Linked DNA regions of Drosophila melanogaster. The protein of the gene in region 3 interacts with the protein of the main gene of each other region in a pairwise test. Each region holds a gene or a part of one and is shown on either strand. Other genes may lie near its edges. The genes, in order: Gp93, Jheh1, sturkopf and Ldsdh1.

Region 1 (8,716 bases), on a different chromosome or scaffold from region 3:
TATAATCTGTAAACAACAGCAGGGACTAATAATTGATATCAGTGGAATATACAAATATATAATTGCATGCTTCCCGGCAAAACTTTCGCTGATTTACGAGCCAGTCACTCGGAGCCTAGAGATTTGCATTTGCCTACGTATTTAATGATTGCATATGCACATACATATATATATATATGTATGTATATATATATATATCTGTTCATACTTAATTGTACTTATTTAAAGGCGTGCCTGTCGAGCACACAAGTCGGAATTATATCTGGGAGCAGAGAGCAGCATCCATATTGTAAATTACGAAGGCCTTGGCTTTGCGATGCAGATAAGATTCACTGGAACACGGCCCAACTGCATTTATCTATCTGCCGGCTGGCTGCTGCTATCAATAACAAGTCAACAATGCCATCCAAGGTGAAAAGTAGCCCCTCGAGTGGGGGAAATCTAATTAAAGGGTTCTCTGCGACGAACTGATAGAAGTTTCCATTGCATAAAAGCCCGATAGAGCTGCGTTCGAAGAGATCGCGGAGCCAACATGATTCATTCATCCCGATGGTGTATTGTGTGTGTGCCGTGATAAGAGAACCCGGTGATAGGTAATTATTGCAAGCAAGCGGCCTCAATTGGTGTCCAATTTGGTTTTCCGCTCTCTGGCTTTTAAAACTTCACGAATTTTAGCTCGTCAAACGGACTGTGTCCAGAATCTAGATTATAACGATGACGCCGGGAATACCGACCAGGCTTTAGACTGGCAACCAACTGCCTGCCGGCTGTCACTTGCGCGATTGACACATGTGGCCACGAAAATCAATAAGTGCTCGAGCCACCAGCCAGCTGAGTGAAATACAACGAAACAAGAATCGGTCAATAATAGGTATTGAATGCGTGGTGTACATATGTACATATTTACATATAACCATATACATATGTGTATATACTTGCGGCGAACGTCATTACGAGGTGGGCATTTGCATACGCTTAAGTGGCGGACTTGTGCACTTGGTTGGCCCTACCGAATTTTCAGAAGAACGATGAGAACGCTCCGCCGATAAGAGCTAGTCCAATTACTATGGCTAATCTTATCGCGGAAGCATAAACCAATGGAACGTGCTACGATAAGCGTTCAGAGCGGCTATATGTGGCTATACCACCCAGAGCTCTTAATGAGAAACGCAACTCTTGGTTGCACTCGAGACGTGGGCAATTACATCACGATTATGCCAAAGCAGCGGCGGCACACACAAAATTCCGATTGATAGTGAGGTTAGGTCGTGTTATGTTCATGCCGCTGCTCCTCCGATTACCAGGCGGCCATGCAGTCTCTCTCACCTTGACGGAGTCCAGCGGATACATGACCACATGCTCCAGCACGCCCGCAATTGCGCCCGCCGTCATATTGACACCCACACTGGTGGTGGGCAGCGATTCGTAGTCGTCGATGTTCATGGTGGATCCGAACGGTTGCCGTCGCTTTCGATTGTTGAGGCTGCTGGTGGGGCTGCACTATCGACTGTGTTGTGTGCTAATGCTGTGGTTGCGCCCTTGCAGTCGCTGCTCCTCTTACGACAACCTGCTAATCCGGACCAGTTCTGCCAAGTCGCTGTTGCAGTTGCTGCTGCAGAGCCGCTTTCTCCGCTGGGATCGGGTCGCTCCGCCTGTCGAGGATCGGCGTTGGTTAGCGGGCAACTCTTGGCCGGCGTATGTCGGGCACTTTTGGTGCAATTTTGTTGTATAACACGGATAACACGACGATTCACGGACGCACGGGCGGGTGTATTTCGGGGGGTGGTGCTGCTGGCGGAGGCGGCGGCGGTGGCGGTGGTGGTGCAGAGTGTACGCGTGAGGTGGTCTTATGCGAAACTGCTAATTGACACTGCTGTTGCACGACTAGCATACAGACGACATAGAGACGATTCCCCGATTCAACGATTCACGCGAGGAAGCAATTTCTGGTTTAGTTGCTCGCGGCTAAGCTGCTGCTGCTGGAGTGGCGGCTGCGGATCGGTTGTTTTATGAATATATAAGAGTCGGTTTGTGGCCGAAGCGGAATTTTGGCTGGGTCGGTGTTTGGCAACTGACGCAAATGTTGTATGATTACAGCGAATCATTAAATTTCGCCCAATAAACAAGCCTCGTGCCCAGAGTGACCGCAGCGGGAACGTCGCAAAATACCAAAATGGCTCGGGTGAAAATACCAGCACAAGTCCACCCACATGTGGGTGCGGAACCTTAACGCCATGGCAAATAAAAATACCAACATTAAAATATTTAACTTAACATTGTAAAATAAACCGAACGGTACAAAATCATATGTTATATATTCTAAAACGAAATGGATTTCCTTGATCTCTGTCAGGAATTTATATTTTATTTCAATTCATATTTTTATCATTACTTTGCTATATCAATAAGTTCTCAGTTATCTATTTTGGCAGCTTAAAAATTGTATATACACGAAGTTGTTGTGCAACCGACCGAAGAATTTATTATTTTAAAGCTTAGTTGTTGTATACATGAAAAGATACTAATTTGTTTCAAATATAAATCATATATCTACCGGCCTAAGTGTTCCCTTTTGTAAACTATTGATATAAGAATGTAAATTATCAAATTAAATATATTTAACAGTAGAGTTTTGACACTACATCCTCTTGTAAACTAAATCCCAAATAGATTCTATGAATGTATGGGCTTTCAAATAAGCAAACATTAAATTTATTTAAATTACACTATTTTCGTGCTCTGTGCTGTATATATATCCTATTTCCAGTGCAGCCCCTGGTATTTCCTTCCAATGCGCTTAGAATGTTCCAGCGCCGGAATACGGTCACTCTGCGAGGCATTTAAAGGCCTTCCAGCCGCTTGTCGGCGTCAGTAAAAAAAAATCAAAGCAGGCGACGCAAGTGCGGACTAATTTATTGCATCTGTTATTCGTGACGTGGCCTTTCGCCGGACGAACCGATAGCTCGAGCTCCGTAAATCAAGCTACCAAAGATCATGAAGTACTTTTTGCTGGTGGGCCTGCTGCTCCTAGCAGGTAAGTGTGCACATTTGCCACGCCGCATTGAACCGGTGTTTTAACCTAATTATTAATTGGCGTCTGATTCGCGTCTGATTAGGCATCAATCAAATAGCCGCCGATGACGAGGCCGCCACAACGGAGACCATCGACCTTGATCTGGGCTCCTTCAAGGAGGGCTCCCGCACCGGTACGTAGACACGCCCCCCTCTCGCGACGACGAGTTTTGTTTGGTACACGTCAGCGTTGCGATAACCGCCCCCTTTTTCTAATTCCCAATCCCCCAGATGCCGAGACCCTGAAGCGCGAGGAGGAGGCCATCCAGCTGGACGGCCTGAACGTGGCGCAGCTGAAGGAAATTCGCGAGAAGGTGGGTTCATTGCCAGGTCATTTGGAAGGTACACGTATGACCGGGATTTCCTTTCCCTTTTTTCTTTGTCTTTTGTCTGTGCGTGCAGGCGAAGAAGTTTACTTTCCAAACGGAGGTCAACCGCATGATGAAGCTGATTATCAACTCGCTTTACCGCAACAAGGAGATCTTCCTGCGTGAATTGATATCCAACGCCTCCGATGCCATCGACAAGATCCGCCTATTGGCTCTGTCCAACAGCAAGGAGCTGGAAACGAATCCGGAGCTGCACATCCGCATTAAGGCCGACAAGGAGAACAAGGCGTTGCACATCATGGACTCGGGTATCGGCATGACTCACCAGGATCTGATCAATAACCTGGGTACAATTGCCAAGTCCGGCACTGCCGATTTTCTGGCCAAGATGCAGGATCCCAGCAAGTCGGAGGGACTCGATATGAACGACATGATTGGACAGTTCGGTGTGGGCTTTTACTCCGCTTTCTTGGTCGCCGATCGTGTAGTGGTGACCACCAAGCACAACGACGACAAACAGTACATCTGGGAGTCGGATGCCAACAGCTTCAGCATCACCGAGGATCCCCGTGGCGATACTCTGAAGCGAGGATCCGTGATCTCGCTGTATCTGAAGGAAGAAGCCCAGGACTTCCTGGAGGAGGACACCGTGCGCGAGCTCATCCGCAAGTACTCGCAGTTCATCAACTTCCCCATCCGCATGTGGTCCAGCAAGACCGTCGAGGAGGAGGTGCCCGTGGAGGAGGAGGCCAAGCCCGAGAAGAGCGAGGATGACGTGGAGGATGAGGACGCCAAGGTCGAGGAGGCCGAAGATGAGAAGCCCAAGACCAAAAAGGTTTCGAAGACCACCTGGGACTGGACCCTGATCAACGACAGCAAGCCCATCTGGACGCGCAAGCCCGCCGAAGTGACCGAGGATGAGTACACTAGCTTCTACAAGAGCCTGACCAAGGACTCCAGCGAGCCCCTGACCCAGACGCACTTCATCGCCGAGGGCGAGGTGACCTTCAAGAGTTTGCTCTACGTGCCCAAGGTGCAGCCATCGGAGTCCTTCAACCGCTACGGCACCAAGTCCGACAACATTAAGCTGTACGTGCGCCGTGTTTTCATCACCGACGAGTTCAACGACATGATGCCCAACTACCTGAGCTTCATTCGTGGCGTCGTCGACTCCGACGATCTGCCCCTGAACGTTTCCCGCGAAACTCTGCAGCAGCACAAGCTCATCAAGGTGATCAAGAAGAAGCTGGTCCGCAAGGTTCTCGATATGCTGAAGAAGATCGACAAGGAGGCGTATGAGAAGTTCTGGAAGGAGTTCTCCACCAAGTAAGTGTCGCTTTCTAGGAATTAAGAAACGTTCTTTGCCTGTTCAAATAATTAGTTATTTATGATAAGCATTTCCGCAGAATCCATTATAATATGGAGAATAGAATGACGTGTATTATTTTTTGCCAACAAATTAATATATTTAGTTTGTTGCTTTAAAGAATTCCGCGCTGATAAGATAAGGAAATCCACGTAGTATTATAATATTGGCACTGGTGACGTGTAGAGTTTATACTTAAATATTTTATTTTAGTTAAATAAGCATTTCCATTAGCTATAACCTCGAATTCTTGGATTTTCGTTGCTTATCAAGACTTAATTGACTCATTTCAGCATCAAATTGGGCGTGATGGAGGATCCCAGCAACCGATCGCGTCTCGCCAAGCTGCTCCGCTTCCAGACCTCCAACGGCAAGGGCGTCACCTCGCTGGCGGAGTACAAGGAGCGCATGAAGGCCAAGCAGGAGCACATCTACTACATCGCTGGTGCCAACCGCGCTGAGGTCGAGAAGTCGCCGTTCGTCGAGCGTCTGCTGAGCAAGGGATACGAGGTGCTGTATCTGGTGGAGGCCGTCGACGAGTACTGCATCTCCGCGCTGCCCGAGTTCGATGGCAAGAAGTTCCAGAACGTGGCCAAGGAGGGATTCCAGCTGAACGAGTCCGAGAAGAGCAAGAAGAACTTCGAGTCGCTAAAGAGCACCTTCGAGCCGCTGGTCAAGTGGCTGAACGATGTGGCACTCAAGGATCAGATCTCCAAGGCCCAGGTTTCCGAGCGTCTGAGCAACTCGCCATGCGCCCTCGTGGCCGGCGTCTTCGGCTGGACCGGCAACATGGAGCGTCTGGCCATGTCCAACGCCCACCAGAAGTCCGACGATCCTCAGCGCACCTACTACCTCAACCAGAAGAAAACGCTCGAGATCAATCCCAGGCATCCGCTGATGCGCGAGCTGCTGCGCCGCGTGGAGGCCGACGAGGCCGATGACACCGCCAAGGACATGGCTGTGATGATGTTCCGCACCGCCACCCTGCGGTCTGGATACATGCTCCAGGAGACTTCGCAGTTCGCCGACAGTATTGAGCAGATGATGCGCCAGACCTTGGGTGTCTCCCAAGACGAGCAGGTGGAGTTCGACGAGGAGGAGGAGGATGATGCCGAGGAGACCGCCACCGGCAGCCAGGAGAGCGGCAACGCCGATGATGAGGAGGAGGAGCAGCAGCACGACGAGCTGTAAACTACTTCACCTCACCCACTGTCCAAATAGATTGTACATAAGAGTGTGAAGTTCAGACTGAGTTTTAAACCGCCACCGGGTGGCCGGGCGGGCACTCCATCAACATTACACGCTAGATTCTAAGTAAAATAATTTCGTAGTCCTTCGCCCACGCCGTCATCACCGCCAGTCGCCCAGAGAGCACTCCACCATTTCAGCCAGCACACTTGGTTGCTCAAGCGTTTTCTTTTTTCGAAAGCAAGTGAATTATGTATTTATACAATGTAATATGCTTAGTACACAACAGATTCCAATCAAAACAAATAAAGACAAATGAATTTAAAACTAAAACAACTGCCTATTTAATATGGCGCGCAATGTAAAATTTCCGCAATCGGATACCAAAAAATAGTTAAAAAGTGAATTGATTGCTCGATCAGTCAAGATCGGAACTCAGCGGCTCATCGTTCAGGGCCCTCAAGTAGGTGTTGTACTTCATCTGGTCGCGGATCTGCTGCACGGCCTCCGATTGGGACAGCGTGTATGTGTCCATAAAGAGGCGCACTATCCACAGCGGGAGCAGTCCGTTCACCAGCAGCGACGTGTGGTTCTGGTAATCGGGACATGTTAGGATGGATATGTGTGTCACTCCAGGACGCCCCAAACTTACGCTTCGACTGCTGTAGACCTCGCCCAGTTTCTTGAGCATCTGCTGGTGAATGCTCTTGCTCAGTATGTCGATGACGTCCATGTGGGCAATGTTCATGTAGTGACTGGTGCGCGGCTTGAACTCGCGCTCCTTGAACAGCTTATCGAAGTCGCTGCGATAGTTTTCGAACGTATTCAGCACCTCGTCCTCGCCCATTTTTTCCAAGAGTCTGAGCCAATCAAAAGAACGCAAGTTGAAGGCACATTCGTGTTCGCTTTATTTGCATCTAGTCGAGTCACTTACAAAATCTTAACCTCGCGCGGCTTGGGCGTGTCCAGCATGCTGTCCAGCCGCTGCAATGCATTGAACCGCCCTCCGTCCATGTGTTCCACCTTGAAATCTTTGGCCGGCACTGGCGATACTCGTTTCACTTTGGGCTTGGGTCCTCTGCTCTTGCCGCTCCTGGTCTCGCTGAAAATGGCAGCCAGGGAAATGATGAATGAAACTGATCGCTATAGCACCATATTTCTATGGCTTACCCAACTACGAAGTTTTTGAATCGACTCGGGCGTATGGGCGATCGGCCGGAGCGGCGTGCAGGCTTGGCCTCAACGGAGCTGGATCTGGAATTCCTGCGAATAGATCAATAGGCTCTTAGTTCTCTCACATCCTAGCCTTCGCCTAACTCACTGCTGTGATGGACTGTGCGATCGCTTAATGCGGTTGCTCTGCTGCGAGGAACTGGGGCTGCTGGAAGAAGCCTTATCCTTTTCGCCTCCTTGGGAAATGGACCTGCGCTCGCTCTTGATCTTGGTTGGTTGGCTGGCCGTGGTGGAGCTCTTGTCATCCTCGTTGTCGGCGTCAATGTGCTTGGGCTTCGATTGTGTGCTGGAGGGGAAACATGCAGTGGAGAAAACATTAAAATGCATTCAACTTCGGTACATAAAATGTGAAAGGTGCAAAGGTGGTTCATAGCTATTGGGATCAAAAACCACACAATCCAAGCCTATGGAGTATTTGGGACTAATTAATAGGGTTTCCTACCCCGCTTTTGGCTTGGATCCTGAGTTTGCTACGCGGATCTTGCGGGATGTGGGTCTGGTGCCATTTGTTTCTGCTTCCGTGGCAAGCTCGCGCTTGGCGGGAATGACGTCCACAATGGTGGTGTCCTCTTGTGTTATGTACTGCAGCTGTAGGTCCAGGCAGAGATCCTTGGAGCTGGACTCCGTACCGGCCAGAAGAGCGACCGTTGCAGGATGCGACTTATTGGTCGCCTGGACGCGCACGATGATGTGATCGATAATGAGCTCGGTGTCCAGTTGGTAGGCATCCTGCCACTGCTTCAGGTTCTCGAACAGGCGCCATAGACCACACTCAATCCGGCTCCACCGATCCGCGGTCATCCAATGGAAATCATTCTTGGATTCCCGCTCAAAATGGGTCACAGGTGTCGGCAGAACTTTGACGCTGCAGATGACGCGGTGCTTCTTGTACTGAAATGGGAGCTGCTTTAGGACATGGCGGATCACACATCTCAGTGGCTTTTACCTGGTATAATTGCGAAATTAGTTGGCAATCACCGATGGCGGAAAATGACATTTTTATAAAATTGCTATGCGTCCTGATGTGACCGTAGCCGCTGACAGGCACAGCAACAACAATTCGGGGCGGATCTTTGGGCACACTACGAGCGCTTTGGTGGTCTATCGATTGTATTTTTTTATCGACGTTTGGGCGGCAAAAAAGTATCAACTTAAGCTGAATTCAATTCATAAATATTCATTATCTGGAGAAAACTGCAAAATGTTTTTTTGGAACGTGACAAGAAATACTTTTACGTTTTACCACAGAGATCTCTATAGAAAGTATAAAAATAGTAATTATGCATAATGAACATATTAAGAATCCACCTGATATATGCATTTATTTATAAAAAAAAACAACAAAGATAAAAAAGTGTTAAGTGTTAATTAGGACAAAAGTTCAGAACGTGTTCACAATGTGCAATCGTGTGACACAAGTGACGATGAGATTTTGAAACCAAAACTGAGAATTGTTTTTACTCTGAATGAATGAGGGGCGCTATCAATGAATCTCCCAGAACTTACAAATCCTTATCAACAGAAGCGT
Region 2 (7,021 bases), on a different chromosome or scaffold from region 3:
CCTATGCGCAAGGAAGAGGCAAATGAAGAGATCTTTATCAGTTGTCAGAAGTATTTGCACACGGTTTCGTCGCATCACAATTATTTTCACAACGCAATTTCTTCTTCAGTGATTGGTTTAGAGTGACAAGTGCCGGTTTGTTTGCTTAAATACATTTAAATTATTGAATAAAAATTAGATTTAATCATTTTCCTATTACAGTTATTAAATAAAATGCCCAAAACAAAAGAGTTAACAGTTGAGGCCCGGGCTGGTATTGTTGCTAGGTTTAAAGCCGGTACACCTGCGGCCAAAATAGCTGAAATATATCAAATTTCGCGTAGAACTGTCTACTACTTAATAAAAAAGCTTGATACAGTTGGCACATTAAAAAATAAAAAAAGATCAGGCCGAAAACCTGTGCTGGACCAAAGGCAATGCAGGCAAATACTTGGAGTTGTGGCGAAGAATCCTAGTGCCAGTCCGGTAAAAATTGCCTTAGAATCAAAAAATACAATTGGCAAACAAGTTAGTAGTTCTACAATTCGTCGCAGGCTAAAAGAAGCTGATTTTAAGACATACGTTGTTCGCAAAACGATTGAGATCACACCAACCAACAAAACAAAACGTCTTCGATTTGCGTTGGAATATGTTAAGAAGCCTCTTGACTTTTGGTTTAATATTTTATGGACTGATGAGTCTGCATTTCAGTACCAGGGGTCATACAGCAAGCATTTTATGCATTTGAAAAATAATCAAAAGCATTTGGCAGCCCAGCCAACCAATAGATTTGGTGGGGGCACAGTCATGTTTTGGGGATGTCTTTCCTATTATGGATTCGGAGACTTGGTACCGATAGAAGGAACTTTAAATCAGAACGGATACCTTCTTATCTTAAACAACCATGCTTTTACGTCTGGAAATAGACTTTTTCCAACTACTGAATGGATTCTTCAGCAGGACAATGCTCCATGCCATAAGGGTAGGATACCAACAAAATTTTTAAACGACCTTAATCTGGCGGTTCTTCCGTGGCCCCCCCAAAGCCCAGACCTTAATATCATTGAAAACGTTTGGGCTTTTATTAAAAACTAACGAACTATTGATAAAAATAGAAAACGAGAGGGAGCCATCATTGTAATAGCGGAGATTTGGTCCAAATTGACATTAGAATTTGCACAAACTTTGGTAAGGTCAATACCAAAAAGACTTCAAGCAGTTATTGATGCCAAAGGTGGTGTTACAAAATATTAGTATTGTATTTATATAAAATAAAAAAAATTCTTATGTTGAAATTAGATGTTAAGCTGAAATTTACTAAATTAAGTTGAGTGAAAATACTTTTGAAGCGCAATAAACATGTGAAAATACTATTGACAACTTGCATGCATATTTTCTTTTGCTTTAAGCTTTGTACTATGAACCGTTATCTTTCGTATTTCTTTTCGACTACCTTCTGCATAGATCAAGCTAAGCGATAAGAACTATTTCAGGCAAATCGGACAACAACAAGAAGAAATATAACAAAAAGAAGTTGAAGTTTGCAAATATTGTGCGTTGTGAAAATACTTTTGACCACCTCTGTATATATTAAGGGCTCCGCGTGTTGGTAATTCGAGTTCTTAATCATTATTAATTAATTAAATCAGTATTTAGTTAAATGTCATATAACAATTTCATTTTAAGCATGAATCGTTTCTTGTTCACTTTACTTTCGTGGATTGATAAATGGAACTGCTTGATCATCTTCCTAAACTAAATGTAAATTTTAAGTACAAAAATTGCTCTCACTCAATTTGTTGCCAAAAGCTCGCCGAAATTCTCAAATTATTTGTCCAATCATGCTCGCATTGCATTGCCGTGTGGAATACGATCCACTTGAAATCCACAAGCCAACAAAAAGCTTTTGTTTGCCGGTAGCTTGCGCTTTACAAATCATTTGTGCTCGACGATCGTAAGCGAGGAGTTGCGCAGTTCGCCGATCTGTGTATATAGAATATATAAAGAATATAGCATAAACACACAATGGCGAACATCTGGCCACGAATCTTGGTCGGAGCTCTGACCATCCTGGTGGCCGTTGGCTATAAGAACTATCGCGATCTCTCGGCGCCCGGCAAGAGACCCGATCTGGACAACAACGCCTACTGGGGTCCAACATTGAAGGAACCTTATCGGGAGAACAAGGCCATCCTACCCTTCGACATCAGCGTAAAGCCAGAGGTAAATAAATATACATACACAAATGCATATATACAAATGCAAAATATCAAATCAGTATGATATGCAATCAAAGCTATGAATGTATAGTATATGTAAATATTTCGAATCATGCTGGTATGCAAGTATCATTAATTATACAGAATTTATGGTAATTTGTACAAATTCATACTATTTAAAGTTATATTTGATTTAATAATTTAATTTAAGTTATATAATTTTTTTAATATCCTTCATCACTTCTTATCAAAGGTTATTGAGGATCTAATCGGTCAGCTGAGTCGTCCTTTGAAAGCGCAGGCGCCACTGGAGGGTGTGGGTTTCCAATACGGATTCAATGCCAACGAACTGGCCAAGGTGGTGAAATACTGGCGCGATACATATCTGCCCAAATGGAGCGAACGGGAGGAGTACCTCAAGAAGCTGGATCACTACCAAACGGAAATTCAGGGGTGAGTGCGACAGAACTTATGGAAAACCGAAGTGTTCCACGCTTAATTAGTCGCCTGCTTTTGCAAATTAACATGAAAAGTTAACCCCAAATGTTTTTCCATTTTTTTGCAGTTTAAAAATTCATTTTATTCATGCCAAGCCAAGCCAGGTGAAAGGCCAAAAGCCCAAGAAGGTGCTGCCTCTGCTTCTGATGCACGGATGGCCGGGAACCGTTCGCGAATTCTACGACTTCATCCCTCTCCTGACCACGCCCAGTGACAAGAGCGACTACGTCTTCGAGGTTATTGCACCCAGTCTGCCCGGCTACGGATGGTCTCAGGTTAGATTTGTTTCCAAAGGGACAACAATAAATTGCTAACCAAGTAATGCTATATTCTCCAAAAGCCGTAAGCCATAGAACTTATCTCTTACTATGGCATTAATATATAGCACTTAGGTAGACAAGTTATTACACAACCTTCTCCAAATTACAAATTGAAAAATGACTAATTTTATATTTTTCCAACTCCAGGGCTCTTCAAAAACTGGATTCGGTGTGGCGCAAGTGGCGGTGGTGATGCGCAACCTGATGCTCCGAGTGGGATTCGATAAGTTTCTGGTGCAGGGTGGCGATTGGGGTTCCATAATTGGATCCAATGTAGCCTCACTTTTTCCGGAAAACGTGCTGGGCTATCATTCTAATATGTGCGGAAATAACAGCCCTATGGGTCAGTTGAAGATGGTGCTGGCCTCCTTTTTCCCCAGCTGGTTTGTGGACAGCGAGTATGCGGACTTCTACAAGGGACTCGGTCACTTGTTTAGCACCATAATGGAGGAGATGGGCTATGCCCACATTCAGGCCTCCAAGCCAGACACCATCGGCAATGCTTTGATCGACAATCCAACTGGTCTGGCTAGCTATATTCTGGAGAAGTTCTCCACATGGACGAATACGGCATTTAGATCGCTTCCTGACGGTGGTCTGACCAAGAGATTTACCTACGATCAGCTTCTGGACAATGTGATGATCTATTATGTGACCAACTCCATTACCACCTCCATGCGTCTGTATTCCGAATCAATGGTTGCCTCGCAGTTTGCACTGGCCGTGGACTCCGTGCCCATCAAGGCCAAGGCTGGCTGCACCCGTTTCGCCCATGAGATCACACATTTCTCCGACTCGGTTTTGGCCAACAAGTTCCCCAATCTGGTGCACAGTACCCACCACCGGGATGGAGGTCACTTTCCCGCTTTTGAGCTGCCCCAGCAGCTGTACGACGACTTTGTGTCTTTTGTCCAGAAAGCCAATTTCTCATAAAACAAAATTGTTTATCATTAGTTATAGAAGTCCATTGTACATTTTCATCGTGATTCTTGAAAGAAACGGTTATGTTTGTTGCAAAAATTAAATCAAATCGACTTGGTGATTGTATTTGCCTTATCTGCTTTGAAAACCGAAAGTTGAAGAGTTTTTTGTTTGGAATACACGAGTGGCGAGCAAAAGGGCAGTGTGTGGTGTTTGCTTTCATAAGTATATGTACATATATGATATATCTAAGCTCGGAACGATGTTACGTAACTTATTCCCATGGGCTATAGTCGACATTGGTGTACCCTTTATAAGAAATCATGTAATATGTTGAATTATTACTTAACTAAATGACAGTAGAGTGATATTAAACCAAATGAACATCAAATTTTACTTGGCAACAAAGATCTCACACATGTTCAGTCTACCCCAGTGTAGTTCGAAAATAAGGGGTATTTTTTAGCTAACCTGGTAGCCCAGCTGCGTCGCAAAATATACAAAAACAATTCGCGGGTCTCATTCTTTATACATATAGTACATACATACATACATACCCCTCCGGTCTTTACCCGTAAAAGCTTCAAACCAAAAACCGGCATGTAAGCTTTGTTGAGTAAATAAACAAACAAGCCGATTCATTCGAGTCATCCCCGATGTGGAAAGCCGCTACTCCGTCTCAGTGGAGTCGAGTCCAAAGTAAACCCGCGATAAGCCCCAACTGATCGGCGTAGGGTGGTCACTCAAAGTCGCTTATCATCATGAGCGTCGAAAACGAGAGCTGCGCCCACGATGATATGGTAGAATCAGTGGAATCGTAGCTGCTATCCGAGACAGTCTGAGTGGAACCGCTGATAGGAACAGATGGGTGTCACTGTTAAAATTCTGGTCTTGATACTGGCCATTGCCGGTGGGCTGGTCTATAGGAATGTGACCCAACTATGGGCGGACTTGCCCGCACCAAAGTTGGATCCCCAGGAGTGGTGGGGCGATGAGGCGCAGCCCAAGGATTACGAGGCCTATTTGAAGAACAATTCGGAGGTGATAGGCAATAGGCTTAGTTATCCGGATAAGGTAAGTGGGGGTCTATCCATTATTATGTACTATATACTAACTCATACCATGTGCAGACCATTGCTGATTTGAAAGAGCGTCTCAATCGCACCCTGCGCCTTACGCCTCCGCTCGAGGGCGTGGCTTTTGAGTACGGATTCAATACGAATTACCTTAAGGAGGTCGTGGAGTACTGGCGCGATGACTACCTGCCGCGTTGGCGCGAACGCGAGGTGTTCCTTTGGCAGTTCAATCACTTCACCACCGATATTCAGGGGTAAGATAAGGTGCCCACTTATCATATGCACAGATAGTAACGATGGGGTTTTAGGCTACGCACACACTTCCTCCACCTGATGGTTTATGATGACAACAAAGTGGGTAAGAAACACTATCCGGTGTTGCTGCTCCACGGATGGCCGGGATCGGTGCGGGAGTTTTACGATTTCATACATTTGCTGCATCAGACCAATCTGGACAATAATAACAAGTACATCTTTAACGTCGTGGTTCCGAGTTTACCAGGTTATGGCTGGTCACAGGTGGGTTTTGTCCAATCTACGTAGTGTATTATAGGCTTATCTGTCTCTTATCCTGCAGGGCACCTCCAGAAAAGGACTGGGTCCCGCTCAAGTGGCGGTGATGATGAGGAATCTTATGCTGCGTTTGGGATACAACAAATTCTTTATCCAGGGTGGAGACTGGGGCAGCATTATTGGCAGCAACATTGCCACCTTGTATCCGGAAAACGTGCTGGGCTACCACTCGAACATGTGCAACAATTTGAGTCCGAAGTCGCTGGCTAAGGGTTTAGTGGCCGAATTTTGGCCCAGTTTGTTTGTGCCCTCTGGCTTTGAAGATTTCTTCTTTCCCAAGTCTAACGAGATGAGATACCTAATGGAGGAGAGTGGCTACTTCCACATCCAGGCCACCAAACCGGACACCATCGGAGCCGCCCTCACCGATAACCCAGTGGGTCTGGCCGCCTACATTCTGGAGAAGTTCTCCACGTGGACAAATCCCAGCTACCGATCTCTGCCAGATGGAGGACTCACTAAGCGCTACAAAATGGATGCCCTGCTGGACAACCTGATGATCTACTACCTGACCAATTCGATTACCACCTCCCAGCGTCTCTATGCCGAGCAGTATGCCCAGGCACAGCGGGACCTGCACCTGGATCGGGTTCCCACCCGAGTGCCAACTGGATGTGCCCGTTTCAAGAGCGACATTATGCAGTTCCTGGATGTCCAGTTGAAGGATAAGTACACGAACCTAGTGCACAGCACTTACCACAAAAAGGGCGGGCACTTTGCCGCTCTAGAGGTTCCAAAGGTTCTATACAAGGATTTTATAGACTTTGTCGAAACGGTGGAACGTAAGTTTAAAATTAAGACTCTGTAGATCTTCCAATAAAAGCTTAATTGTTACAAAAAAAAATTAGTTTTTATTTGGTATCGATAACCTAAATGGTTTTGATCCTGGAAATGACTAGGTACCCGGAAAAATAGTAGTAGATGTTACCGTTTTCCACTTTCAACTTTTCACTTTTCTATTTAACCTTAATATTCAATGTTGTATTAGGAATATTTAATTTGTTATATACACTTCAATGAATAAGTCCAAAACAATTCATTCATATTTTTCATAATAATAATAATTTGGTTTAGTTTCTATGGAACGCATAGATTAAATTTTTAGAAGAATAATCGGGACATAGTTTAATTTTTATCATTATCGGTATTTTTTAAATGTTGTACCTCAGCAAACACAAAATACTGAAAAGGGTACCTTGTTTTAGGGCCAGGTACACGCGTGAAGTTACCTCCCATCCCTGATCCTGGAACATTACAATCGGGAATCGGAGTTAAAGTGGCTGCGCAGATGGTCAAGAATATATAGGAATATTAAACAATTACAAATTTGGAATACAGGATTTGTGTGAGATACAGGCTGGTCCAGAAGCTCATAAAACGAACAATTTATACCACGATCTAGGAATTTGCCATCAAGTTTCGAAGACAAAGAAAC
Region 3 (6,969 bases):
CGCACGTTTATGTCGAACAGAAGCAGTACATCAGCGCTATTCAGATGTATGAGAACTGCATGAAGAAGTTCTACAAGCACAACAACGTCGAGGTAATGCAATATCTGGCAAGAGCGTATCTACGAGCCAACAAGCTGGTCGATGCCAAGGCAGTGCTACTTAAGGCCCGTCGAGTTGCTCCCCAGGACACAGTTCTACTCTTCAACATAGCAGTGGTCCTCTCACGTTTGGCCATGGCCATACTCAAGGATGAGAAATCTACTCTGGAAATTGTGCTGCAAGCTGTCCATGAACTGGAGCTGGCTCAAAAGTAAGTGGTATCCTTGCTCTCTTAAACTGCGCCTATCAAATATTTTCAAGTGGTTATTAGAGTACCAACCAAGTGATAACGTGAATTTGATTATATTTAGAAGTACAGCAGAAATGAGTAACCATTAATGGCATTTTAGCTTATCAGATCAGATTAGATATTAATGCAAAGCAATCATCATGAACTGCTAAACCGAAGATTGGATTAGATTAGCTGATGATTTCCTTGATCATGGTCAATAACTATTTCTATGAATATGTTTTGTTTCGTGCTTAAAATCTCACTCACAATATCCCACCCCAATCTCTTATAGATACTTCCAATATCTGTCCGTGCACGGGGATAAGAATCGCTTCAACATTGAGGTGGCTGGCATTGAGGCAAGCACCTGCCAAGATCTTCTCTCTCAGGCCCAGTACCATGTGGGCCGTGCACGTCGCATTGACGAGGAGGAGCGCTCGTTGCGCCGGAAGCAGGAAGAGGAGCGCGAGGCCTTCAAAATTAAGGTGGCGGAGCAGCGCAAGCGGCGCGAGGAGGAGGCAAAGACCTCCAGGGACCAGTTGTTAGCCAAGCGGCAGGAGTACGTGGAGAAGACCAAGAACATGCTCATCATTGCGGACGCTCCACCTGAAAAGGAACGCAAGAAGGGTGGTGGGCGAGGTCGTAAAGATGACTACATCTCCGGTACCGAAAGCGATAACGATGGAGCTCGTCGTGAGGGAGAACGTCCCTCGAAGAAGAAGGGCAAGGGGGAACGCAAAAAGGGTGGCGGTCGCAAGCGCAAAACGGAGAAGTACGAGAGCGACAGCGAGGAAGAGCCAGGTGCCAGTGGCAAGTCGGGAAAGAAGAAGGGCAAGAAGCCGAAGCCGGTTAAAGAGTCCAAGGAGAAGCTTTCTGCCAAGCAGCGCCTCAAGGTGCTTTCCAAGGAGACGATCTCCACCAGCGAATCCGAGTCTGACGGCAAGCGCAGCAAGAGCAGAAGTAGAAGCAGGAGTCGAAATCGCAGTGGTAGCCGAAGTGGCAGTGCCTCTAGAAGCGGCAGTGATCGCGAGGCTAGCCGCAAGCGCAGCAGGAGCAGAAGTGGATCTGGATCTGGGAGTGACAGTGATGAAGCAACTAAGCGGAAGCGCGCCAGGAATCGCATCGAATCTGGCGGGGAATCGGATAGATCTGGGTCCCGTGCTCGCTCCAAGTCGAGTTCCCGTTCAAGATCTCGATCCAAGTCCGGATCTCGATCGAGGTCTCGCTCCAAGTCGGGATCCCGTTCGAGATCGCGCTCAAAGTCCGGTTCCCGCTCGAGATCCCGCTCGCCGTCGGGTTCAAGATCCCGCTCTCGCTCTGGCAGCCGATCCAAGTCCGAATCCCGTAGCAGATCAGGGTCCCCGGAAAAATAACGCACCTCTCAACCGTGTTAAATCACTTTTGACTATATTTAGAGTTGTCTTCGAGAGCTGCAAAAAGATACTAATAAAAACGAACTAATTGCCACACAAAGGCAGTGGAGTAATTGCTATTGGTTTGCTGTTCAACCGTAATCCGGATTCCCAAGTCTATTGGCATGGATGGATTAGGTAATGGACAGGGCTGATTGTCTGGGCCAGGTCAACAATCGACTTCAAACACGTCTGTGCTGCTGGATCATGTCTCTTACGATTACAGCCATAGGCTGCGAGTGGCGCAGGACGAAAGCGTGGTCGATCTTCTTGGTGTCCAGCTGGGCGTCCACCTTGGGGTAGTCTTTTTTGAGCTGGTCATAGTAGGAGATTGGTACCCATCCGTCGGTAGTGCCGTAGTAAAACTTGAGGAGGTCCAGGTTCTGCTCTACAATCTCCCTTTGAATCCCGCGAACCCTGGCCATCTCATCGTCGGCCAGGAAGACCACCTTCTCCGCTACCGATGGTTTGGAGTACTTTAGGGCGGTGCCCAGAAACTGTCGTGGAATGGAGAAAATCAAGAAGTAGATCTGTATCAGCATCAGGCGCAACCACACGGGCAGAAAGTTGAAGAAGCTGAAGAAAATGTAGCCAAACACGGAGTACAGGGGCATGGCCACCTTGGTGAACACCCATCCATTGGGCGACTCCATCATCCGCTCGACGGTGGGGAACAGCATATAGCACTTTTGGATGCGACTCCGTATCCGCTCGTTTTCCAGCAGCTGCAGGATCATCCACGCTCCGATGGAGTGCCCAATCAAGTGGATCTTGACATCACTTGGCACGTATTTCTCGATGAAGGCGATTTTATGCCGGATTTGTCCGTCCAAATTGAAGAGCTCCTCGTTGCCGCTGAGTTGAGGAACCTCCCGAATACTGGCCTCTGGCGGATCATCATGGCCAGCGTGCCCTGGAGGGAACATCAAGTGTGCTATTACCGACTCAATGTGGAAACGCCAGCACACTCACCTATCACCCAAACTGGAAGATCGCCCAACTCCTTTTGCAAAGTGCCTGCGAACTCTGTGTAGAAACCTGGCAAACCGGGATTGCCAGTTATGCAGATGACGATCTCCTTCTCGGTTATGGTCTCCTCAATCCACCTGCCCCATGTGAATATGTGGGTGGGAATGGAGTTGATGTTGACGTAGGCCTCCTGCATATTTTCCGCTGCTGTTGGCGTGGCAAACTGCGCTGAAAATCAATCGGCACCTGTGTTGATCCCACTCTTTTCACACGCGATGAGTTGTCTAATCCCCGTGGCAACCGGTTTTCCTTTGTCCAACCACCTCGGCTGCAGCCTTTCACGAGTTTCAAATCTTGAGGATTGGCGCGGTTTATCCCCAGGGTTGATAGCTCTGATAAACACTGCTATGTGTTTCGGCCAATTGTTTCCAGCAAGAATGGACAAAGGTCACAAGTTCAGCGGCTTAAAAACGGCTGATACAGAAACCAGGGCGGCAAGCTATGCCAAAATCAGATGTTCTATATTAGCGGATACTTACCATGATAACGATTGCTCAGACAGAGAAAAAGTGTAGATAATTTTGTTTAAAAAAGAAAAAAACCAAAATGCATTAACTTTAAAAAAAATACTATGGCGTAAATTATTATTTGTCAACCTATTGATATCTCTTTACAGTACTAGAAGCTTTTATAAATTTCATATTAACTTTTACCTATCATCATTAAATATTCGAAAGTACTCCCTAACATTAGTTACCTACGTATACATTTTTTATTAACCAAAACTTATATGTAAAATCGCAAATTGTTTCTTTTTTCGGAAAAAATTGAGAAAACATTTTGATATTCGTGTTCAGCATAAGTTCTAGAGAATTATCCGATCTTAAGGTTTTTCAAAGCGGATCTTAAAAGTCCGCAAGCGATGCAGCCCTAGCTTAAGCCCATTGTCAGGGCTGCCAACGTGGGCAATGTGGCCCTATCCCAACCAGTTGGCATCGCCACCATTATTTATTGGTTTTTTGTTGCTGGTTTTTGAGTTTTTATATTTTTTTTCTAGAAGGCCTAAAATTTATAGAGCGTTGTAGGTAACAGGATTCAGGATTAGACTTAGATTCTGAAGGCACACCCATCGAAAGCTTGACGAGGCATGAACCGAGCAATTGGAATCGGGAGCAAGTGGACACAAAAGAATGTAGCTAACAATTGGGGACATTCTCGAAAATTCTTGTAGCACCAACAAGTAAATTATTATACCCAGAACAACCGAAGGAGCTATTGGGCGGATCCAGAGCAATGGCATCTGGCAAAGAGCTCTATTGCTGGGGAAGCACGTCACATGGTCAATTGGGACTTGGCGGAATCGAGGACGAGCAGGTAGATAGATGACTTTCGGATATAAGCCCACTGATATTACTTTTGTATGCCATTGATTTCCTCACAGATCCTCACACCTAGTCAGATACCCTGGACACCGGACACTGCTGTACAGCAGGTCGCCTGTGGACACCGACACACTCTCTTTCTGACCGCCACTGGAAAAGTCTACGCTTGCGGGAGCAACGACTACTCCCAGCTGGGCCACGATCTGCCCACCAAAAGGCCACGTATGTCGCCATTTCGTATGTAATCTTCATTTATCGTCTTGTCTGTCCACTCTCCACTAACTCCACCTCATCTCCATACTCACCAACTACGCGAGCCACTGCTGTGAACCGAGTCTAAACCCCGCAATCATCTTCCGGCCGACTTTTTGCAGTGCTTATCCCCGAACTGCAGGATTACGTGATCATCCAGATCTGCTGCGGCAGCCGCCACTCATTGGCGCTCTCCGATTGGGGCCAGGTCTTAAGCTGGGGCGACAACGACTGCGGCCAGCTGGGCCATGCCACCGATAAGGAGATCGTGCAGCTGCCCAAGGTTGTGCGGCAACTGGTCACAAAGACGGTGGTGCAGATCGCCTGCGGCAACAATCACAGCTTGGCACTGACCAGTTGTAAGTATGGAGTGAAATTTAATGGATTCCATTCACTAGATACACAGATACACATCAGAACTACTTGAAACAAGATAAGATAATTGTATTTCCCAAGTTTAGGGCATTACTAAACAATTCTTATCTAAAGCTAAACAACGATACCTTCCGACTAACATCATCCTTGACGTTTCTAGGTGGCGAGCTGTATTCATGGGGTTCCAACATCTACGGTCAGCTGGGCGTGAACTCCCCCAATGATTTGACACATTGCAACTATCCCCTCCGACTAACCACTCTGCTGGGAATTCCGCTGGCCGCAATTGCCTGTGGAGGCAATCACTCGTTCCTCATCTCCAAGTCCGGTGCGGTGTTCGGATGGGGCAGAAACAACTGCGGGCAACTGGGACTGAATGACGAAACGAACCGCTCGTATCCCACCCAGCTGAAAACGCTGCGCACCCTGGGCGTGCGATTTGTGGCCTGCGGCGATGAGTTCTCCGTTTTTCTGACCAACGAGGGAGGGGTGTTCACCTGTGGAGCTGGCGCCTATGGGCAGTTGGGTCATGGCTTTAGCTCGAATGAGATGCTACCGCGAATGGTAATGGAGCTAATGGGCAGCACCATCACTCAGGTGGCCTGTGGCAATCGGCACACTCTGGCGCTTGTTCCATCGCGCGGCAGAGTTTATGCCTTTGGCTTGGGTAGCTCTGGGCAGCTGGGCACGAGGAGTACCAAGAGCCTGATGCTGCCGCAGGTGGTCATCGGTCCTTGGGTGTCGCCCAGCGGATCAGCCCTGTTGCAATCCAATGATTCACAGGTCTCGTTGGTCATCCGACAGATTTTCTCAGGTGGCGATCAGTCGATTGTGACCACAACTTTGTTTGTAGACAAGGTGCCGCCCGAGGATTTCAGAAACTACAAGTAACTATAGAAGCGTGTTACTTTAGTATAAACATATAAAACTATAAACATATATCTACTTTGCAGCCCCAAATCCCAGATCCTAACCCTAACAGCAGAAGTCACCAAGCAGTGTGCTCAATGCAAGCAGGGCCTTCAAAGCGACATGGATCTACTGAGCTCTATTGAACTAATATTTAGAAGCCAGGCGTGTTGGAATGGTTCCTTTCTGCTGGATCACGACCGACACTTTGGATGCTCGGTTCGCAACCATGGACTGGATCTGAAAGCAGCCCAACTAGCATTCGACAATCTGCGCGCTGTGGAAAATGAAAGCATTAGGCAGGTGGTAAGTTTTCGCCATTACAAGCATCATTGGTATCTGTTTTAATCATTTCATTGTTTTCAGATCTGGGACAATATAACCAAGGAGCTAGTTGGTTCGCTGGTTTGCTCACCGGCAGATGTGGAGAGCATGCGATTATATCTTCTGCTCCCACTTTACCACGAGTTCGTCAACTCCAAGCACTACAAGTCACTGCAGGTTCCGTTTGCCAATGCCATATTTAAGCTAGCAGAGAACCCACGGAAAGTGCTGAACAAGTGGTTGGCCCAAACACCGGCTGAATACTTCGAGCATCTTGTCCAGAACTTCTTGCATGTTGTCATCCATATTATAAGTTTCAAAATGGGCTTGGCTGCCGCTAGTCCCAGCGCCGAAAGACGTCAACAGGTATTTAGATTTCAATATAGGGCCATACCAGTGTCAATTAATTCTCTATTCATAATCTAGCTGCTGCCATATAACACTGAACTCGAGATCATTCTAAAGCTGATGAAAACGCTCTGCCAAATTAACAACGAGCGCCATGATCGCCTAAACTATCAAATCTTTTACTGGCCTGATCTTTCGGATTATGCAGACGTGCAGCAGGAGTACGTTAAATGGATCATGGCCGACACTGCCAGAGATTTCAATATTTGCAACTATTCATTCATTTTCGACCAGTCTGCTAAAACAGCGTTACTCCAAGCGGATCAGGCGCTCCAGATGCACTCCGCCATGGCCAATGCGGCTACCATGGTGGGTTAATGACGCCGAACAGAAATGATTTATGAGTTAATAACTACTTTTTTATCCAGCAGGCATTCTCCTTTTTCAACTACGGGATGCCCATCTCGCAGTTCATTGTGCTCAACGTGACGCGTGAGAATCTGGTGCAGGATTCCCTTCGAGAGTTGCAGCATTATTCGCAGAGTGATCTTAAGAAGCCGCTGAAAATCAAGTTCCATGGCGAGGAGGCGGAGGACGCGGGTGGCGTGCGCAAGGAGTTCTTCATGTTGCTGCTCAAGGATCTGCTCGATCCCAAGTACGGTATGTT
Region 4 (8,588 bases), on a different chromosome or scaffold from region 3:
GGCGGACTACCCATAAGGAATTGCCCCCTGGAGGTGTCCCACAGGGAGACCACTTCGGCCCTCTGCTGGGTTCATTCCAAGTCCAATACGGAATTCTATTCGGGCTCCCTGGATGGCTCCATTAAGTATTGGGACACCAGGGATCTGAAGATGCCCATGCAGGAGCTGCTCCTCGAACCGGAACCGCAGGAGCGTCAATCGCGCATGGATTCGCATGGAGTGACGGTGTTGGAGTTCGAATACACCATCCCGGTGCGCTTCATCATCGGCAGCGATATGGGTCACGTTTTTGTCGGCAATCGCAAGGGTATGACTCCGATGGAAACCCTTCTGGCTCACTATCAACTTTTTGTCGGACCCGTGCGCAGTATCAATCGAAATCCCTTTTTCGTCAAGAACTTTCTGGTCACGGGCGATTGGCGGGCAAGGATTTGGTCGGAGGAGGTCAAGGACAGTCCGTCTACCATGTATTTCCGGAAGAATGCACAGATTTTATGCGGCGCTTGGAGCACAGGTCGCTGCTCCCTTTTCGTCACTGGCGATATAAACGGCGTGGTGGACTTTTGGGATCTGTTGCTTCATCACCGTAAGCCCATTCGTTCCGTGGACTTTAAGGTAGCCATTGCGGATTTGGTCTTCCGGCCGGAGGGCGATCTGCTGGCCATTGGCCTGAAAAACGGCGACACTCACATCATGACACTGGATGAGTCCATGCGACAGGCAACTGGCAAGGAGAAGGCACTCATGGCCGCCGTAAGAATTGAACATTCTGTAATGTAATCCCCTCTCTCTAATTAACACTATATCTTCTGGAAGATGTTCGAGCGGGAGATCGTGCGGTGTAAACTACTGGAGGCTCGCTATGATGAAGTTAGGCTAAAGCGGAAAACGCTTCAAATGGCCGAGGAGGAACGTGTCCGGAAGCAGCAACAACTGGCGCCCACTCTCGAGCTGGATCCCGACAATCCCGATCAGTTTGTGATGATGATCGAGGGCGATGAAGAATTTCGCACGGCCATCACCGAATTCCAGGACATCATACTCAGTGTGGAGAGGAAGCGTTCCAAGCGGCAGGTGATCATGGAGCGTACGGTCTTTGAGGAATGGAATCCGGCTGACGAAAAGCTTCAGGGTGAGCCCGTCGTATACACCAAGCCCGAGCGAAAGGTTCAGACGTCGGGAAACTATGACAAGAGGACTTCGGGAGAGCCAAGAGCTTCGCAAGGATCCATGAAGCACCAGTAAAAAAAAATATGAATATGAACTATTGGATATGTTGATATGATGTGCAAATTGAAATAAAGTTATCATTTAAATACAAACTGTTTGCCAAAGCTGCGGGAAACAGATGAAACCCCATACGATGAGCACCATTAAGACCATGACTAGCGGGTCAAACCACATTTAATCACATTATGGAGTACTCTTTGGAGACCTTTATTACGACCAACACAATTAGCCCGACTACGTGCGACTTTTTAATTAAGTAACAACCTTTCTAACAGCTAAATTTAGTTCGTTAAATTCACTTTTCATATAGCATTAGTTGCACTTCTCTACACAGCAATTAAATGGAGTTAATAGTACACTGGGAAAAAAAAAATAAGCAAAATAAAGTGAACAAATGGGGGGGGAGAAGATTAAAGCTAAATCATCCACTTTTAGATGGATAATGGGGTGTTCAATTTGGCCACTTGGAGCTGAGCTCTAGGACTTATCGGTATCCACACCCGTGTCGAAGAAATCGTTGACCAATCGCATCGCCTTGCGTGGAATCAGGCGACCGATCTTCTCAGCGGCCACGAAATGTCGTGGAATCGCCGCCTCCTCCAATCCCTGGCGCTGAGCCTCGATGATCGATCCGGCGGCCACATCGGCGGGTATCAGCTTGAACAGATTGGGGAATCGGTAGCGGGGATTCTTGCACAGACCCGTATCGATCATATACGGATATATGGTAGTCAGCTTGACCTGCAAGCGGAAAGTAGGTGGGTTATATTAAACTTCGAATTCATGGAGTTATTATGGGAAAAGGTCTCATCCATATGAGATAATAAAATCGTAGTGTGAAACCAAGATGCTCGCCTAACGGTGAGAATTAAACGGGCTGCTTGGTACGAGCTATAATATATTATTTTTAATTAGCTACTCTTAACCACCTAATAACCTTTTAATTGGACACTCAACTGGATTATAATGAGCAACTAAATGCTAATAAAAGTGTGAGTGAGTTGGTACTTACGTTGTTCTGTGGGTTCTTCTGACGCAGCTCCTCAACGAGGGCGGCCATGTAGCCACGAACGGCGAACTTGGTGCCGCAATAGGGCACCAGATTGATCAGTCCAAAGAGTCCGGCGCATGAGGATAGGGCCACAATGCTGCCCTCGTTGCGCTCAATCATATCGGGCAGGAACGCCTGGATGATCTGTGAATGAAGTGAATGGTCGTCAATGTTACTATTGAGATAACATCGATATTAACACTATCACATCAACTTACCCAGAAGTGAGAGAGCACATTGATCTCGTACATTAGACGAATCTCGTTCTCGGTATGCTCCAGCAGTGGATGGCAGGGCATGATGCCGGCATTGTTGACCACCACATGAATGAATCCATGCTCCTTGCGCACCTTCTGGGCCAGTTCGATCAGTTCCTCGCGCTTGGTCACATTGCAAACGTAGCCAAAGGCCTTGCCACCATTGTTCTTGATCTCCTTGACGGTCTGGTTATTGGTCTGCTCATTGACATCCCAGCAGAGAATGGTGGCGCCCAGCTTGGCGTACTGCAGTGCCATCTCCTTGCCCATGCCGTGGCCAGTGCCGGTGATCAGGACCACCTTGCCATTGACATCATCGAGCGGCGGCGCGCGGAAAAGTCCAACGATAGCTTCCGCAATGGCGAGCCAGAATTTGACGATCAGCATCACGATGTCAACCACCAGCAGGACAATGTTGTAGATGTCATTGCTGTTGGCGTTGCTGCCGTTGTCAGCACTGAAAGAAATATGTACGATATTATTACCAAATATTAGGGTAAATTTAAGGCTTAATTGTGAGCATGTTTCTGTAAACTACATTAAATATATATATATTTGCTTTTTAATAATAAAGTAAACCACATAATGCTATGGTTTTTTGTGGCAAGTGCGTGCTTTCTCTACATTGACTCTTGATCTTGGGCATCATCATAATTATCAAGCGGAGTGGAGTTCAAATGGGATTAATCCGGAACCCTCCAACTCTTGCATGACCCACAGTCATTTGGATGGCAAGTATGTGCGTGTATATGCCTTATCTTACAGCCAGCGACAATCGCATGACCTTTGCCATCCTCACTTTTTGCGGCTACACTGGGAGAAAACAAGTCGCTTAAATGAAAAATTTTCTTTGTATCATTCCATTTTTTATGACACATTTCTGTTATTTACTTATCAATGATGTCATGTAATGTGTTTCGGTTTTTCGTGGGAAATGCGGAAATAGCCAAAAAAAAAAAAAGGGGGGCGGCAATGGGCGGGTTTGGGTGGTTCCAACGTGGGTCATCGTGTTTTCTCCCAGCTCATGTTCTGTAATTATATTTCGCTGGCTGCAGCTGCGTGAGATCTTGATAATGCCGAACTGTTTCCAGCTTTTTGGTTTTTTTTTTTTTTTTTTTGGTGTGGTTTCAATGTGTTTTCGCCCATGCATTACGTAGTGCGATAGTATATGCATATATGTATATATATATACTTGCTATATATTCTAGCAGATCGTGCCATCGACTTGACCATCATTACCATGTCCCTCTCTCTCTCGCTCTCGCCCCCCTTGCACTTTCTATCGCTCCGTTTCACTTGCGCATTTCACTGCCATGGAGACTGCTCTTATCGGAATGCTACTTCTGGAATGCTATTTATAGTACGACGTTCGGAATCGGACCAAAATCGTTCCGAACAGCCCACAATATTGGAAAATATTTTCCATTTTGGAAAGTAGCATAGTATTTGAACTGCGATCCTCTGCACTTATGTCCTCTCAAGCGTGTGAAAACTATTTCACCGAAAAAAAAAAATTTCAAATGATCCTTTGCCCGGTCAATAAGTGTAAGGCGATCTTTGGTCAGGGCAATTTGATATAGTTAAACTAAGTCGAACGAAGGTGAATGGCGCTTAAGTGAGCGGATACAGATTGCACAATGGTTGGTCAAAGGTTGAAGCGATCATCCATCATCATTCATATGGATGGTTTGGTCATCTATAATGCGATCTCTGGGCCAATTATTCCATCGAGCTGAATAGTATTAGTTAGTATTTGGTGCTCATTGAACCCTGCTCCTCCGGGCCACTGGTTGTAGACCCAAGTCGATAAGGTGATCTTATCGCTGGCGATTAAAATATTGCACTACACTTTGTTCCAAATGTTCCGTTGATAAGATAGTTCTCTTAGGTTTTTTTTTTTTCTTTTTCTTTTCTTGATTTGTTACCAACTGGTGGGTAGCACTTCTGTTTCGGTGATTACCCACCTTTGCGTCACTTTCGACATGTTTCGTGTATTTGGCTAAATCCTGCGAGGATCGTTAATGTATATATATATCTATATATATATATACGTATATAGGAAGGGATCGGAGCAGCCGGAGCAAACCGTTAGCGGCTGTTAACGAATTCGGACTGAATATTGAGCAAAGTAAACACTACGCACCGTACCGCCACGCCGGTCTTATAAGTTATTATTTCAAATCTACTCACACACACACACTCACACACACACACACACACCACTGGGTTTTCAAATACTATATGGTACTGGTACACTGGCACACCGGCACTACTTGTAGATACACTCTGCCGGCAGCGTTGACGTCGACCGCGGCAGCGACGCAGGCAGAGCGTTCTATAAACACAACTACGACATATGTTCAATGGCACTGTCATTCCGATTTATACCATTACAATCCAATGCGATGCGATCCGATCCGATCCGATCTATATGGAACGAACGATATCCGCGGATGTGCAACGGTTCAGCCGGTATGAAATGCATATTTCTATGTATGTATTTATTTTTGTTAGATAGCAAATGCCTGTTTGTTAATCCGGGGTCCGGTAATAATACCCTAGTCGGCCATAAATAAGATATATATGTGTCATATATAAAAATACACACAACCAGGCGGAGTTTACGACCCAGATCGTTCAGATACCCAGATACTTAGATACACAGATACTTCGATACTCAGAGAGATGAGATACAGAGATGCGGTGTGCGAAAGCCAAAGGTGAAAAAAGTGCCAAAGGGGGTGCTAATGCCAAGGTAGATCTACGGCGCCGATATTAACACACAAAAGCTTCGCCTAAACAGATCGGTTTCATTCACTTATTTTTTTTTTGACCAAATCATATGCGAAGATAAGCACTGGCAGGATGATCTTTGGCCTACGGCAAAAAAAAAACAAAAAAAGCTCAGGAAACCAGAACCAATGTACAATGTACGCCAATGAGAGGTATTATTTGGTTCAAAGATTTAGTTTTTTTTTTTTTTTATCAGGGTAGGGTATGATGGTTAGAGGGTAGGGTCTTAGCTGTGCACTACTTGACCCCTGAGACATAGGAATCAGATTGCGATTAGATAGTGCTCCTTGCCATTTGCCGGCTCAGCATGATGCATTATTTTTCGATTGGAACATTGGGTCAAAGTATGGGACTCTCACCATATAGAGAGTCGGGCGAGTAGAGCCCAACCCATGAAGATAAGAATGGGATTCCTTGGGTTATTGGTAATACATTTATATGAGTGATCACTTCATCGGCGATATAACTAACGTTCAACGTTCATCCGCAATAGCAAACAGGCGCTTCTATATAATTAAGTATATTGCTAAGAATTTAATTATTCATAAACGACTGGTTTTTTTTTATATGGCACATATATATATTTTACAGCTGACAACACTAATGACTAATTAGAGACTTGTGCTACTAATATATTCACAATAGTTTCTCAAACTTTTAAATTGCAACCAGATCTATAAAGGGCGATTAATCTGATCTTAACTATATCTGCTATATCTGTTACTTATTTATGGTCAACGTCATGGGTGATACTTTGTTTGCAATTCCAAAGTAAGTGCATTAGCATTTATTACTTGTGTTAAATCGTTCTAGTTTGAATACTGAAAGCTTAGTAAAATATAAAAATTTTGTATATTAATATTGAGATGTAATGCCAAGTCAAGTTGATTAACATTATCTGCTCGCCTCTCCATCAAGGGCAGCATCTTCCTTTCCGGCTACTCGAACTTGGACGGACACCTTATAGCTGACATGCTGCACTCACTCATTCCGGTTCGCCGTCTATCCGATCCGATTCGAAACGATCCGGTCCACCTTCCATATGCCAGATGGAATGGAAGCCATCTATCTAGATATCGGTGGCTGGGTGGCGTAGTGCAACCCAATAAAACAAAACAATTTCGAATAGAAACAGGCTTTGGGCGTTGCGTTGCATGAATGCATTCAATAGATGAACAAGATTCGTGACAATTCGCTAGTCGGGCGGGCTTGTGTATCTGTATCTATGCGGCTATAGTTGTTCTGCTGTGGATGCGACTGGCTAATCGAATAAATTAGCTCGCATAACCAGACCGGTTGACTAGCTGACTAGCTGACTAACTGACTAACTGACTAACTGACTGATTGACTGACTGGCTGACTGTCTAACTGACTGGCTTATTGTTTCACCCGAGGCTTGCATAAATATGACGCCTTGGCGACTCATCCGCGGCATCCATCTCAATTCGCACCTTCATCTGGGGAATGATCCCAATGTGGATACGTGCCAATTACAGATTTGCGACTGCAAATTGCACCCCTGTCGTGGGTCGGGGTCACCACTAAGTCAACTAGCCAACGCAATTAGTCTTAACAGCATTCGCGAATCGGACCCGCTTTAAGTCTGGCTATTTGTAGGGATCACCAGTTCAGGTGGGATGCATAAACAAGTTCCACGCTATCGATCGTGCAAAGTATTGGCATTCATAACTAAACGTCTGATGATAAATGTACTAATGTACTGCACCATTAAAGACCGAAATATATGTATATTATGCATAAATTATTGATTAAAATTTTATTAATTACATTAATATAACAAATTCAAAGATATTTGGATGCTGATCACACCTGCAGCGTGGAGAAGAAGGAAACCACAGCGCTATCTGTGGGCAGACACTGGCCAAATGCCTCGATTAGCAATGGTTCCGCGGTGACCGTGCCCATAAAATCCTCCAGGGAGACCTGAAAACCAAATCATTATATCTGTAAGGAATTATACCACCACCAATCCATTCACCTTGCCGTCCTTGTCCAGGTCGAACTTCTTGAGCACAATCTCCACCAGATCCTTGACGCCCTCGTCGGGATCTTCGTCCTGCGGTTGTTTTATCAGGCAATTTCGCAGCAGCGTAAACATTTCATCCTTGGTGATGAAGCCATCCGTGTTCAGGTCGTAAACCCGGAAGCAAAAAGCCGCCCGTTCCGCCGGCGTGCCGCGCAGGAATGTTGAAAGTCCAATGAGCCAGCCCTCGAGGCGAAGGGGCAAACCCTCGTGGGCCTTGTCCCAGCTGCAGAAGATGCGCTCCATCAGGATCTCCTCGGTGACGATGTCGAAAGTGCTGTGCAACAGCTCGCGGAACACAATGCGATCGATGCCCTACGAAGAGTGGCGCTGAAACACCATTTCTTGACAGGATCTGTTCATAGTTACCTCCACGGCAGCATGTGGCTTGGCAATAGCTGCGCTCGAGGAGCTGGAGGCCAGCGTCTTGGCCGCATATTGACAATTTGATACCAGCTTGCGATAGATGCGGCACAACGCATCCAGCTCGTCCCTATTCGGGCGCCAAGTGGCACATACAGTTCATCATCGTACTCCAAATTATGTATGTATGTTTGTATGTAATTCACTCACTTCGTAAACCGCGTCTTCTTTCGCAGGCTGTCCAACAGCTTGGGATTCACTTTGCCGCTCAACTCATCCATCCTCCGTTGCCGCTGTTGCCGTTTGTTCTGCAAAGCAGCCGCGGCGGCCTTCGACTGTTGGTTGCTCGAGTTGCGCTTGCCGCTGGCAAGGAACACGGATACCGTTTTCAGTATCGTTTTGTTGGCATGTAGTGTGGATCTACCAACGCCAGTGGTGCCGCCAGTTGCTGTGGGTGCCGCTGCAACACCACCACCACCACCACCACCGCCTCCACCACTGCCAGCACCAGCCGTTGCCCCGCCATCCCGATTGGGTGTCGGTGTTGGCGAACGACCCTTGCCAGCGCCCGCCTTTCCTGCAACCCAAAAAAAAAATAAGGTTCAGCTTTACATGGGTGCGTGTCTCTGTCTTTGTGTTGGCCTGCTGCTGCTTTATGTGTCAAAGTCGACACGCTCACCCCCAAAACTCCTGGCGCCGAAATAAACTCCTCCTCCTTGGCGAGCTTAGCCAGCAAAGGCCCTTCAAGTGTGTGGATGTGGAGCAGAGCAAACAAAAGGCCTGAAATGCAAATGCGCCTCGCCAGAATCAAAACCATTCCCATACCCCCATTCACCCCATTCGCGGCCCA

The links.
Region 1: the proteins of sturkopf (region 3) and Gp93 interact in a protein complementation assay, tested with the Drosophila melanogaster proteins (one study listed by BioGRID).
Region 2: the proteins of sturkopf (region 3) and Jheh1 interact in a protein complementation assay, tested with the Drosophila melanogaster proteins (one study listed by BioGRID).
Region 4: the proteins of sturkopf (region 3) and Ldsdh1 interact in a protein complementation assay, tested with the Drosophila melanogaster proteins (one study listed by BioGRID).

Annotation. Positions count from the first base shown.
Region 1 is NT_033777.3:27,945,868-27,954,583, forward strand, and holds Gp93 (glycoprotein 93), read left to right. Parts: upstream 1-2,843; 5' UTR 2,844-2,994; coding exon 2,995-3,034; intron 3,035-3,116; coding exon 3,117-3,206; intron 3,207-3,303; coding exon 3,304-3,386; intron 3,387-3,474; coding exon 3,475-4,727; intron 4,728-5,060; coding exon 5,061-5,958; 3' UTR 5,959-6,284; downstream 6,285-8,716. Other genes in the region: mfrn (mitoferrin), read right to left, coding at 1,327-1,443; CG4951 (uncharacterized protein), read right to left, coding at 6,374-6,547, 6,608-6,815, 6,890-7,057, 7,126-7,218, 7,277-7,474, 7,631-8,079, 8,135-8,185.
Region 2 is NT_033778.4:18,852,834-18,859,854, reverse strand, and holds Jheh1 (juvenile hormone epoxide hydrolase 1), read left to right. Parts: upstream 1-4,767; 5' UTR 4,768-4,801; coding exon 4,802-5,011; exon of another isoform or gene 5,012-5,067; coding exon 5,068-5,267; exon of another isoform or gene 5,268-5,321; coding exon 5,322-5,532; exon of another isoform or gene 5,533-5,590; coding exon 5,591-6,394; 3' UTR 6,395-6,421; downstream 6,422-7,021. Other genes in the region: Jheh2 (juvenile hormone epoxide hydrolase 2), read left to right, coding at 2,005-2,202, 2,452-2,651, 2,764-2,971, 3,164-3,949.
Region 3 is NT_037436.4:1,310,005-1,316,973, forward strand, and holds sturkopf (sturkopf), read right to left. Parts: upstream 3,374-6,969; 5' UTR 3,252-3,373; intron 3,202-3,251; exon of another isoform or gene 3,118-3,201; 5' UTR 2,909-3,117; coding exon 2,716-2,908; intron 2,657-2,715; coding exon 1,926-2,656; 3' UTR 1,715-1,925; downstream 1-1,714. Other genes in the region: Ctr9, read left to right, coding at 1-310, 624-1,704; Herc4 (HECT and RLD domain containing E3 ubiquitin ligase 4), read left to right, coding at 4,006-4,086, 4,154-4,331, 4,469-4,705, 4,882-5,608, 5,675-5,936, 5,997-6,320, 6,381-6,671, 6,734-6,969. UniProt on the Drosophila melanogaster protein: Probable serine lipid hydrolase associated with lipid droplets. Appears to lack or have very low cholesterol esterase activity. Appears to lack triglyceride lipase activity.
Region 4 is NC_004354.4:8,076,928-8,085,515, forward strand, and holds Ldsdh1 (lipid droplet subset dehydrogenase 1), read right to left. Parts: upstream 4,679-8,588; 5' UTR 4,523-4,678; coding exon 4,503-4,522; intron 2,996-4,502; coding exon 2,500-2,995; intron 2,426-2,499; coding exon 2,243-2,425; intron 1,972-2,242; coding exon 1,708-1,971; 3' UTR 1,423-1,707; downstream 1-1,422. Other genes in the region: CG1571 (uncharacterized protein), read left to right, coding at 1-753, 817-1,245; CG2256 (uncharacterized protein), read right to left, coding at 7,156-7,275, 7,331-7,690, 7,745-7,868, 7,949-8,315.